Linked DNA regions of Saccharomyces cerevisiae S288C. Changing the gene in region 1 together with any one later gene gives a genetic interaction. Each region holds a gene or a part of one and is shown on either strand. Other genes may lie near its edges.

What was found.
Region 2: mutations in HSH49 (region 1) and YLF2 together harm fitness more than expected from each alone (negative genetic interaction), as found in Saccharomyces cerevisiae (one large-scale study listed by BioGRID).
Region 3: mutations in HSH49 (region 1) and ZNF1 together harm fitness more than expected from each alone (negative genetic interaction), as found in Saccharomyces cerevisiae (one large-scale study listed by BioGRID).

The regions. Positions count from the first base shown.
Region 1 is NC_001147.6:909,726-913,963, forward strand, and holds HSH49 (U2 snRNP complex subunit HSH49), read left to right. Parts: upstream 1-3,096; coding exon 3,097-3,738; downstream 3,739-4,238. Other genes in the region: long-chain fatty acid-CoA ligase FAA1, read left to right, coding at 1-1,720; GNT1 (glucose N-acetyltransferase), read right to left, coding at 3,894-4,238. UniProt on the Saccharomyces cerevisiae protein: Possible SF3b-like factor.
Region 2 is NC_001140.6:74,845-78,920, reverse strand, and holds YLF2 (Ylf2p), read left to right. Parts: upstream 1-1,606; coding exon 1,607-2,824; downstream 2,825-4,076. Other genes in the region: deubiquitinase OTU2, read left to right, coding at 568-1,491; 40S ribosomal protein uS10 RPS20, read right to left, coding at 3,144-3,509. UniProt on the Saccharomyces cerevisiae protein: Hydrolyzes ATP, and can also hydrolyze GTP with lower efficiency. Has lower affinity for GTP.
Region 3 is NC_001138.5:26,656-30,881, forward strand, and holds ZNF1 (DNA-binding domain containing protein), read left to right. Parts: upstream 1-1,576; coding exon 1,577-2,974; downstream 2,975-4,226. Other genes in the region: YFL051C (uncharacterized protein), read right to left, coding at 3,403-3,885. UniProt on the Saccharomyces cerevisiae protein: Transcription factor that regulates respiratory growth and plays a critical role in stress adaptation during non-fermentative growth.

The DNA.
Region 1 (4,238 bases):
ATTACATCTTTACGCAGCCACTTCTCACAAGTGGATGAAGATGTTCTTAGGAGCGCAGTCTCAAGGTATTCCTGTCGTCACTGCCTACGATACTTTGGGAGAGAAAGGGCTAATTCATTCTTTGGTGCAAACGGGGTCTAAGGCCATTTTTACCGATAACTCTTTATTACCATCCTTGATCAAACCAGTGCAAGCCGCTCAAGACGTAAAATACATAATTCATTTCGATTCCATCAGTTCTGAGGACAGGAGGCAAAGTGGTAAGATCTATCAATCTGCTCATGATGCCATCAACAGAATTAAAGAAGTTAGACCTGATATCAAGACCTTTAGCTTTGACGACATCTTGAAGCTAGGTAAAGAATCCTGTAACGAAATCGATGTTCATCCACCTGGCAAGGATGATCTTTGTTGCATCATGTATACGTCTGGTTCTACAGGTGAGCCAAAGGGTGTTGTCTTGAAACATTCAAATGTTGTCGCAGGTGTTGGTGGTGCAAGTTTGAATGTTTTGAAGTTTGTGGGCAATACCGACCGTGTTATCTGTTTTTTGCCACTAGCTCATATTTTTGAATTGGTTTTCGAACTATTGTCCTTTTATTGGGGGGCCTGCATTGGTTATGCCACCGTAAAAACTTTAACTAGCAGCTCTGTGAGAAATTGTCAAGGTGATTTGCAAGAATTCAAGCCCACAATCATGGTTGGTGTCGCCGCTGTTTGGGAAACAGTGAGAAAAGGGATCTTAAACCAAATTGATAATTTGCCCTTCCTCACCAAGAAAATCTTCTGGACCGCGTATAATACCAAGTTGAACATGCAACGTCTCCACATCCCTGGTGGCGGCGCCTTAGGAAACTTGGTTTTCAAAAAAATCAGAACTGCCACAGGTGGCCAATTAAGATATTTGTTAAACGGTGGTTCTCCAATCAGTCGGGATGCTCAGGAATTCATCACAAATTTAATCTGCCCTATGCTTATTGGTTACGGTTTAACCGAGACATGCGCTAGTACCACCATCTTGGATCCTGCTAATTTTGAACTCGGCGTCGCTGGTGACCTAACAGGTTGTGTTACCGTCAAACTAGTTGATGTTGAAGAATTAGGTTATTTTGCTAAAAACAACCAAGGTGAAGTTTGGATCACAGGTGCCAATGTCACGCCTGAATATTATAAGAATGAGGAAGAAACTTCTCAAGCTTTAACAAGCGATGGTTGGTTCAAGACCGGTGACATCGGTGAATGGGAAGCAAATGGCCATTTGAAAATAATTGACAGGAAGAAAAACTTGGTCAAAACAATGAACGGTGAATATATCGCACTCGAGAAATTAGAGTCCGTTTACAGATCTAACGAATATGTTGCTAACATTTGTGTTTATGCCGACCAATCTAAGACTAAGCCAGTTGGTATTATTGTACCAAATCATGCTCCATTAACGAAGCTTGCTAAAAAGTTGGGAATTATGGAACAAAAAGACAGTTCAATTAATATCGAAAATTATTTGGAGGATGCAAAATTGATTAAAGCTGTTTATTCTGATCTTTTGAAGACAGGTAAAGACCAAGGTTTGGTTGGCATTGAATTACTAGCAGGCATAGTGTTCTTTGACGGCGAATGGACTCCACAAAACGGTTTTGTTACGTCCGCTCAGAAATTGAAAAGAAAAGACATTTTGAATGCTGTCAAAGATAAAGTTGACGCCGTTTATAGTTCGTCTTAATGGATCAACATTTCCATGATAGGAAAGCCTCATCATACTAAAGCACTTTTTCAGTTTTTTGCTTTAGAACTGCTACCAATTATAAAATAGAATGCACAGGTTATCTTGTTTGGTTTGTTATTATCCTTTTTTCTTCTTTACCAGTCATATCACCTCATTCACGTATGTTCGTAATTTATAATGTTAAAAATGGCATATATAGATATATTTATGAACATCCTAAAAAATAACTAAATTTTTCTACATTTCAAAAAAGGTAACGTTGACTGCCGCATGGCAGTCTAATTAGGAGCTTAGTGATACATATATATATATATATAAATTTCGGCCAAGACACCTCACATAAGAAGCATTACCAGAGGTGTCCTGATCTGAGATGGACCCTGTCTCATTTGTTGAGTTGACAAAATATCAGGGAAATTGATTACCCTGGTGTGCACTGACTCCTTAGTACTCATTTTCACAGCTTCGTACACATCATGGAAGACAAACCATAGCAACCAGCCGCTCTCATTCAATCTCGCATAGACTGGAAGAAGAAGCTCCAGAAGCATATCCATTCCTTGCAAAACGTTCGTTTCTGCGTGCCTGTCTTCTCCACTTTTGTCTCGGTCAGCCAACAGGCACGTGGTGGGTGTGCCTGGAGATTAGAAATTGTAGTTCCTCAGATTATGTAAATTTTCTCAACAAATTTACTAGGACAAAGAAATGACGTAGTAAGAGTACTAAGTATCAAGATTGTTGAGGTGTTCCGTTGTTAGTACTTTTTTACGAGCACGCGAAGTTGACACATTGTGTCTGGCAGATGGGAACTAATTTACTAATCAATTTGCAGCAGTACGCTATCATGTGATGAAATATATTCCCGTTGGATTAACCATAGTCTAATAGACAGTAATATCGAGGACTCAGGGACTACGCCATTTATTTACTTGGAATAATTTGCCTGCCCATTCAATAAAATTATGAAAATTGTGACGTTCATACACATGCTGATGAAATGAGTATTTCTTTTAGTTGAAAATCCAACAAATTCCTCATTAACGCCGTTTTCCCACTTCTATTTACTGGCTTTTCTTTCAAAACGAGGGGATTTATTCTTGGCGTTGTTGAAATTTTCACATTTCCAGAAGATTTATTCGGCGTTTATTTTTCTAATCCAGATTTAACAAAGAGAACAAAATCCCACTCGTTACCCTGCCTTGAATTGTCAGATGGCCTTATTTATTTATTTGTTACCCGCAGATGTGGATATAAGACGGAAATGGATAGTAAAGCTAAAACGACTCTTCAAGCAGAAATTACCGAGATGAGGTAAAAATGAATGGGCAAAATAGCTAGCCAAGAACAGCGCAATCATTCTAAGATTAACATTGATGAACTACAGCGCAGACTCTGGTAATACAGTTTATGTGGGGAATATAGATCCAAGGATAACGAAAGAACAACTTTATGAACTCTTCATTCAGATCAACCCTGTTTTAAGGATTAAGTATCCGAAAGATAAAGTTCTACAAGCTTACCAAGGCTACGCATTCATCGAATTTTATAATCAAGGAGATGCTCAATATGCAATAAAAATAATGAATAATACCGTTAGATTATACGACCGACTGATAAAGGTTCGTCAAGTAACCAATTCTACAGGAACAACTAATTTACCTTCAAATATTTCTAAGGACATGATTCTACCTATTGCTAAGTTGTTCATAAAAAACCTTGCAGATTCGATAGATAGCGACCAATTAGTGAAAATTTTCAATAAATTTGGTAAGCTCATAAGGGAACCCGAAATTTTCTACCTATCAAACGGAAAATTAAAGTGTGCTTATGTTTATTTTGAGGACTTTGAAAAAGCAGATTTGGCAATAAAATCTTTGAACAATCAGTTAGTCGCCAACAACAGAATTACTGTTGATTATGCCTTCAAAGAAAATGGAAAAGGTAACGCAAAATACGGTGATGACGTTGACAGGCTGTTGAATAAAGAAGCATTAAAGCACAACATGTTGAAATAAGATCCCGCTCTCACCTAGTACATACCTTACCCGTTAGAAAATGCGATAACGGACACAATCTTGGCAGAAACATTATCAATACTATGATATATATATATGCGTTTCCGACTATACTAATTTTTACACTTTTTGAAAATTTTCACTTCTCCTCATAATCAAACGAGGCAGATTTCCCTGGACTGTATGTAAGAAGCGTACACCGAGTTCCAAAGGTCACAAGCTTGGTGCTCTAGCTTTGAATCCTCCGCGTCTTCTTCTTTAACGATACATTCAAACTCCTTCATTGATGGATAATTCCAGGGCTTGGCCAATGGATAATCCGAAAAATGTATGTACTTAGAATATGCGACACTGTCGTTTAATCCTACCGGAATATCGTTGCCATCATTATCCAATGTCTTATAACCCAAAACGTCATTATAGATTATAGAATAGTGCCGTGGGTTTCTCAATGAACCCGTCAGTAAGCCGTACCTTGCAAATGGCAAAACCAATACTTC
Region 2 (4,076 bases), on another chromosome or scaffold:
TATGTAGAACAGTGAAATATTTTTCCTTTTTTTTTTTATTATCAAGAATCACTTGTGTCAGTTATCGTTAAATTCCAGGTTACAAAAAGATTGTAAATGCCAGGGAAAATACAATTCAAAAAAGTTACAGTATAGTTATATTTAATTACTTAAATTTACTTTTTTTACTATAAGGTGCTATTCCTGCATTCTTTTTTTAATTAATCAGGACTTATAAGCTGATAGTACTTTCATTCTTTTTTTTTTGTGTGATAAGGCCATTGAACATTATGGAAGACTAACTACTTTTTCTTCAAGAAAATTGTGTGCTTCTACTCTCGTTCAATACAGGAAATTTTAATTCCAACAGAGTGGAAATTTATGGTTTTCTTACCACAATAAATTTCTCAATTGTTAAAATCTGAAAAGTTGGCAGCCCTGGCCCTGTCAAAGAAAGTATTATTATGCGTCGCGAAATTTCTTTTTCTTCACGCCTTGTTTTTAGTTTGGGCATCTCGAAAGCATCTAATACAAAATCCAACTAAAGCACAGCATTCAATCTAGTAGAGAGAACAAGAGATATTCATCATGACCGGCATGGAATCAGGAGAGAATTTGGAAAACATGGAAGATATTTTGGCGAGACATCGCAAGGAAAATAAAGATTTACAGAATAAGATAACGGGTATGAAAAAGCAGGCTACTAAATCCAAAAGGAAAGAAGTTAATTCGAAATGCCTAGATCTTCAAGATAAACTAAAGACTAAGCAAGAAAATGAAATAAGGGATTGGAAAATTGCAAATAATGAAGTGTTTGACGCAGAACAAGAAGATGAAGTGACTCCTGAAAAACTTTTAGAACAACTATCCATATCTCGAGATGAGAAAGAACAACAGAATGTTCCCGTTCAACAACAGCAACAAGGCCAGACAAAGAAGCGTCGCAATAGACAAAAGGAAAGATTGGCCAAAAGAGATGCAGCAATTGCTAAAATGAAAGAAGAGGCTGCTTTAGAAGCATCCAAACAACCGGACTTGAAAAAAATGGAGCAGGAGTCTATAGATCAGTTATGCGAGTTGAAGAAACTGAAACAATTCGATATACAACCCGATGGCCACTGTCTCTTTGCATCTATATTAGATCAGTTAAAATTACGCCATGATCCAAAAAAACTGGATCAAGACATGGATGTCATGAAGCTGAGATGGTTGAGTTGTAATTACGTACAGGAGCACAGGGATGATTTCATTCCATATTTGTTTGATGAAGAAACTATGAAGATGAAAGACATTGATGAGTATACGAAAGAGATGGAGCATACAGCTCAATGGGGTGGTGAAATTGAGATTTTGGCTCTCTCTCACGTTTTCGACTGCCCCATTAGCATTCTGATGAGTGGAAGACCTATTCAAGTGTACAATGAATGTGGGAAAAATCCTGAATTGAAGCTAGTTTACTATAAACACAGCTATGCATTAGGTGAGCATTATAATTCATTGCATGATTCTTGATTTTTCCCATCCGTATCTAATGAGATATGCTTATTTGTAAACCTTAATGCATCTATTTAATTGTATAGTTTGAAGCATATGGATATAAAAGAATAAAGAGAAGTAATAATCGGATATGAACATTGGTGGAGGAAAATTTTTACTTGGGAGGATATCGAATAATCCAACTTCAGGGATAGTAGGGCTTGCTAATGTTGGTAAATCGACTTTTTTCCAAGCAATAACAAACTCAAAATTGGGAAATCCTGCAAATTATCCATTCGCTACCATTGACGCAGAATGTGCCAAAGTCAATATACCTAGCGTGCCGCTCTCTAATTTATTGAGAATATATCAGAGTGCGAAATGCGTACCTGGAACACTCACAATATATGATATTGCTGGGCTCACCAGAGGCGCATCTCAAGGCCATGGTTTGGGTAACAAGTTCTTAAACGATATCAGACACGTAGAGGGGATATTTCAAGTGGTGAGAGGATTCTTAAAGGAAGACATCACCCATATAGAAGGTAATGTTGATCCTGTCAGAGATCTATCCGTGGTACAAGATGAACTCATCTTGAAAGACTTAGAATTTCTGGAAAACATTAGGGAAAGACTTAGTAAGAAGATGAGAATGGTTTCGAAGAATTCTAAAGAACATCAGGAAATGAAGATAGAGACAGAATTATTAGATGCATTAGAGGAACATTTGTTTAACGGTAAAAAAATCCGGCATTTCAAAGATCATTGGAACCTGGATGAAGTCAAAATTTTGAATAAGCATAACTTTTTAACCTCCAAACCAACTTTGATATTGCTAAATGTTTCACCTCAAGATTACGTTAGGAATGAAAATAAATTTGTCAGAAATATTATAGAATGGATTAACGAATTTTCGCCAGGAGATAAATTCCTACTTTTCAGTGCAGAATTTGAATCGCAATTGATGGAATGTAAAGGCATAGCGTCAGAGTATTTTGACAAGATCAAGGAAGATACCAATGTTTCTGATCAACAGTTAGTTTCTGCGATACCGCAAATAATACTAGAAATGAGAAAGTTGTTGAACTTAATTAGCTTCTTTACATGCGGCCCACAAGAAGTTCACCAATGGAATATAAGGGAGGGAACCACCGCTCAAGAGGCCGCGGGTGTAATCCATAGCGACTTGCGTGAAACATTTATCAGCGCTGATGTAATAAAATATGACGATCTGAAGAAGATGGAACCACCGCTAAATGAGTCTTTACTAAAATCTAAGGGACTTATCAAACGTGCAGGCAAACAATATATTATGCAGGACAATGACATTGCCTTATTCAAAGCCGCCGGTGGGAAAATTAAGAAATAGTTTGTCATAAAAAATACTTGTAAATATGAATAGAAACGCTTGCTTTGTTTTGTCTTTTCCAATAATTACACAAGAATCAACAAAAGTATGAGATATATATATATATATATATATATATATTATATTTGCATAAGGTTTAACCACTGATAGTAAGACAGAGGTATATCGAGGAACTGTGTTTACCTAGAGTGGGCTGATTCTAATAGTGCAGCTATATGCGAAAATGAGAAAAAAGGAACCGCTGAATTCAATAATATATTTTGGTTAATGGACGAGAAAAAGAGGAATCTAATGGAAATTATTTCCAGTTAGAACCAGCTTAGTTGGAAGCAACAACAACTTCGACATCCACACCAGGTTCAATGGTGATTTGAGTGATTCTCTTAACGATTTGAACAGGAGCTTCCAAGTCGATGTATCTCTTGTGGATTCTCATTTCGTAGGTTTCCCAAGTCTTAGAACCTTCACCATTTGGAGTCTTTCTGGTGGAGATCTTCAAAACCTTGGTTGGTAGTCTGACTGGACCCTTCTTGACCAAGTTGTGTTGTTCAGCGTTCTTGACAATGTTGGAAGAGACGTTTTCCAATTGCTTAACCTTGGTGGAGGTCAAAGTGATTCTAATCTTGATGATTTGTTGTTGTTGTTGTTCTTGTTCTTCAACCTTTTCCTTTTGAAAGTCAGACATTTTGTATATACCTTTTTGTTTATTTTACTTGCTTTCTTGTAGGAGTTTCAATCTAAAGCTGAGCTTGAATGAAATAACCCATCTTTACTATTATTTTGAATTCAATACGGTCTATTACTCAATCTCTGAGGCTAGTCGCGAATGCGTCGAAGTTTTTTTTTCAAAATTAAAACATTATCGTTACCCGAACTTTATCTTCATAAAAATAGTTGTGGCATTTTTTCTCTTATGTTTACGGATGTAGAAAATGTACAGGTGTGAACTTGCAGGTAAACATTTTTACATTTTTACTTTTATCTTTTCCCCTTCTATAGAGATAAAAATAAGAAGTTTCAGGGAAATCTCTCTTTCCATAGTAAATAGTGTTAGCAGCAGACAAGACAAGAAGGATATCAATGACGATACGCATTTTTCCGAATGATCTGGTCAGATAATTCTTTTTTTCCCTTTATCGGGAGGTTTTGATGAGAAAACGATGTCAATAGTATTCTAGTCACAATAGGGAGCTAGACGGCTATTCAATCAGAATGCGACTATCCGGAGTTATCCTCAATGATAGACGTTTCT
Region 3 (4,226 bases), on another chromosome or scaffold:
ACTCGATCATTGGAACATCCCTGCCTCGATTTTAGAGCTAGTATCAAATTTCAATCTCTTTGTGATGGAGCCCCGCTCCTATTTCAAAAGAGAAGTTTCTTGTATGCATATGTTATTGAAGTCTGATTATAGCAAGTGCAATGTCGTCTCAATTATTTTAACTATTTTTAGCCATACATGTTAGTTATCCTCAAAGAGAGCCTCCAGACTGGGAAGCAGTGTTTGTCATTTCAAATAAGTAGATTTCACAGTTTGTATGATTTTCGAAGCCAGGATTCATTGGGCTTTGAGTAAAGAGAAGCCGCGTATTACGAACAGCTTACGATATTGTAAAATATTCCCTTATTGTGGTGCCCCAATGGATACATGCCAGAGAAATGTCTGTGAAATTGAACAATTACAATGACGAGAGCAAGTAATCCGGCGGCCTTGTCTCTCTTTCACTAGTACCGTCTATATCTCTTGAGCGCCAATATGCGAAAGCTTTCACAAGGTTGATGTTCATGGTATTCGGCGTCGATAGCGAATTGCTTACTAAGAAACATTAGGGTGCAGTACAGCCTTGTTTTTCCAGTTCGACTAACCTTTTTCTTGGCAGTATGGAGACTGACTAGGTCTCCCAAACATTCATTGTAACTGCTGTTTAAAGATTTTGTTCTAACCTAAATTCAAGTGAGAAGCTGAACATGTGTCTCTACTTATGATATCACGACAGCAAATACTAATCTTGCCATAAATAGTCTAGCGTTTTGCAACTTACCTCTAGATATATTTTATTTCTTGAGGAACCGTTTTCGTCGGTAATAACAAAATACTACTGAAACGCCACAGCATTGAGAGAATACGTTATCGATTACGGCTTTCTTCTCGCTCCAGATGTCGCGGGTAAGATATTCACCTCAAACTTTTCTTGTTGAGTGTCGTCACAAATCTAGAACCTACATGCCATCTCAACGATTTTTCTGGAGAAAGGCCTCACTCCGTTCCGTACGTAATGCATAGATAAAGTATCAGGATCTTCACGATGCTCGAGAGTTACTTAGTAGTCTGAGTTTATGCGAAAAAAACTCCGCCGTTGTAATAATCGGGAATACACAGAAGTAGTACTGCACTATCACTGGGATACTCAAAAACCTTCTTTTTAACTTTTCTATCCCACAAATAGAACATAGGAAAGAACATTGACTCCTCCACTTGAAGTTAAATTACAGGAACAAACGCCTAACTATAATTTCGACATTGTTGCATCAACGAATCGACCGAAAGAAAAATCTGGAGTTGCAGTTATCACTTGTATGTGCACTAAGATTTATATTTTTACTCCTGAGATCTGCCAAATCGGTAGCTTATTGAACTGCGTTCCTTTTTCCCCTGAGTTCTCGAGGTACCTGCGGCTTTGTCTGTGCCATCTCCCCCACTTTAAAGTACCCCACGTTACTACCGCGTTTTTCCCCACCCCCGGCTTAATAAATTAGCTATATCTTGTTGACTTAAATACGGAGAAAAGAAGAAAACCTTCAAGAAATGCTTCATTGTCTTGTCAAAAGAGCTAAAGTAAAAGAGCTCTAGTTCGAAGATGGCCCGCAATAGACAAGCGTGCGACTGTTGTTGCATTCGTCGAGTAAAGTGTGATCGTAAAAAACCATGTAAATGTTGTCTTCAACACAATCTGCAATGTACATATCTTCGACCTTTGAAGAAAAGAGGTCCAAAACCCGTCAAGGTGAGAAATTTAAAGAAAGTAGATGATGTACAGGTATTTAGTAAAAGTAGTAGTGGTGGCATAATGAAGGTTCCAAAGGCACTAATTGATCAGTGTCTGCGGCTCTATAATGATAAGTTGTATGTGATCTGGCCTTTGCTGTGTTATGATGATCTTTACGAACTTTTAGAGAAAAGATATGACGAAACCTGTGTGTATTGGTTCCTGGTATCTCTTTCTGCCGCCACGCTTAGCGATTTGCAGACTGAAATTGAGTCGGAAGGAGGGGTTACCTTTACTGGGATACAGTTATCCAGTTTCTGCATGTCATCACGCCAAGAATTTGACGATTTTAACGGTAGTGATATATTCAAGATTATGACGTACTATTGTCTAAACCGCTGCTACGCACAGATGTCCAACTCAAGAACTTCGTATCGGCTTTCTTGTGAAGCCGTGGGGCTCATTAAGTTGGCGGGGTTCCATCGCGAGGAAACTTTGAAACTTCTTCCTTTCGATGAGCAGCAGCTTGGAAGGAAAGTTTATTATTTGCTTCTCTTAACGGAAAGATACTTTTCTGTGTATACGCATTGCGCCACGAGCCTGGATACCACGATTGCTCCACCACAACCGGAGAACGTAACGGACCCCCGACTATCTCTCGACAGCTTCTTGGAGATGATTAGGGTATTTACTGTACCGGGAAAATGCTTCTTTGATGCTCTAGCTACCGACTCTGCTAATGTAACCTGTACTGAAGACTCCCTTAAAAAGATATGGAGGGAACTTCATACGGTGCCACTTGAGATAGAACCATGGTCTTACGGCTATGTAGACATATCTTTTTCACGGCATTGGATTAGAACACTTGCTTGGAAGCTAGTGCTTCAAATAAGCGGTATGCGAATCAGTTTCCTTTCAAATAGCAAGAATACGCATATTCCAGTAGAAATTGCTAGAGACATGTTAGAAGACACATTTTTAATCCCAAAAAATCTTTATGCAGTTCACGGTCCAGGGATATCAGTGAAAGCACTAGAAATAGCCGACGCATTGGTAGATGTTGTGAATCAGTACGATCAAAATGCAGAGTCGGAGGCTTGGAATTTTTTGTTCGATATATCCAAATTTGTCTTCTCTCTTAAGCATTGTGATAGCACATTAGTTGATAAGTTTACGACAAAGTGTCAGTGTGCGCTTATCACGCTTCCTCTTTCTAATCCGCTTGAATCGACAGATGGTTCTAAAGAAGATGTAGATGCGCTTCCTTAAGTAAACACATTGCTACTTGCATTTTACCTTTCAAGATGTAGTGATTACGGACAGTTGAAGAGGCTAATAGCATCTATTTCTTCTTTAGTATATGGTTCCTGCAGGGCAAACAATTATTTCCTTTGCAATTTTGCGGCAGTGGGGAAGAATGATAGCACTAATAGTGAACTTGTGGACAATTATGCTATTATAGCAAGAAAAAAAATTTATTTTTTTTTCAAGGGGGGTGATTGTGATGTGAATTAAATCAAGGATATACGCTTTTATCGTCATGATAGTCGTGCGATTTGTACTTGGTTATAGATGAAATGAGTTAGTTTTTAATAATTGTGATCACAATATAGCTGTACTTATCAGGCCATTAAAGTTTCCTGTAAGGTGCACGAGAAGTCATGGTCATAAAATTATCAGAATCTCCAAGGAGAGGTTCAACGGCGTCGGTTGCCCATACTCCATATTAAGTACCCTGTCATTTCCACAGTTACATTAGTTGGAGTAGTATAGAAACCAAAAAGATCAGAACTCCAATAGGCAGTATTTGGGTCACAGTATTCAGTGTCACGTTTTTTAGTTTCATAAAGAGGTCCGCAAGGATCATATCCATCCTCATCACGCTTCAAAACTGCATAAGTCACACAGGTAGGAGTGCTCTCACAAGGCGGACTATAGTATATGGAGAGATTGGTCTGTCCGCTAACGGAACCTAACTTCTTTGTATTGGAGTATTCATAGCCCATATATTCAGGCTCCAAGTATGTGGTTTGGTCGCCTATTGTGTACTCATAAAAATTAATATTCATACCATCTTCCCTTTTGTTTGTTGGTAAGCAAGCTTCTGTACTGGCTAAGGTTGTAGTAGCTAGCGCCACGAAGACCAAGAGTGCCGAAAATACGGAATGGGGTATAGACATTTGAAGGTGTGGAGGGATGCTGGTATCCTCCAATTGTTACATTAAGATTATCATCTGGCTATCATGAAATGAAGGTTACCTTTATATAAGAAAGACTTTTAAAAAAATGTTTTGTTTTCTGCTTTAGGGAAGTAGATATCGTTCCTGCATTTTGATATCAAAATAATCTCCGGTAGGCATCAATTGCAGTTAAAGCTCTTTCTGGCAAAAACCCCGATACCCATGTAGGTACGCTCTTTTCACCAGGTCTTAATAATTTGATGGGCACCGTTTATCCCAGGCAAGCCAAAAATTAGAAACAAAAAACAACTCACGTACGTTAAAAAACCTGATAGTGCTTC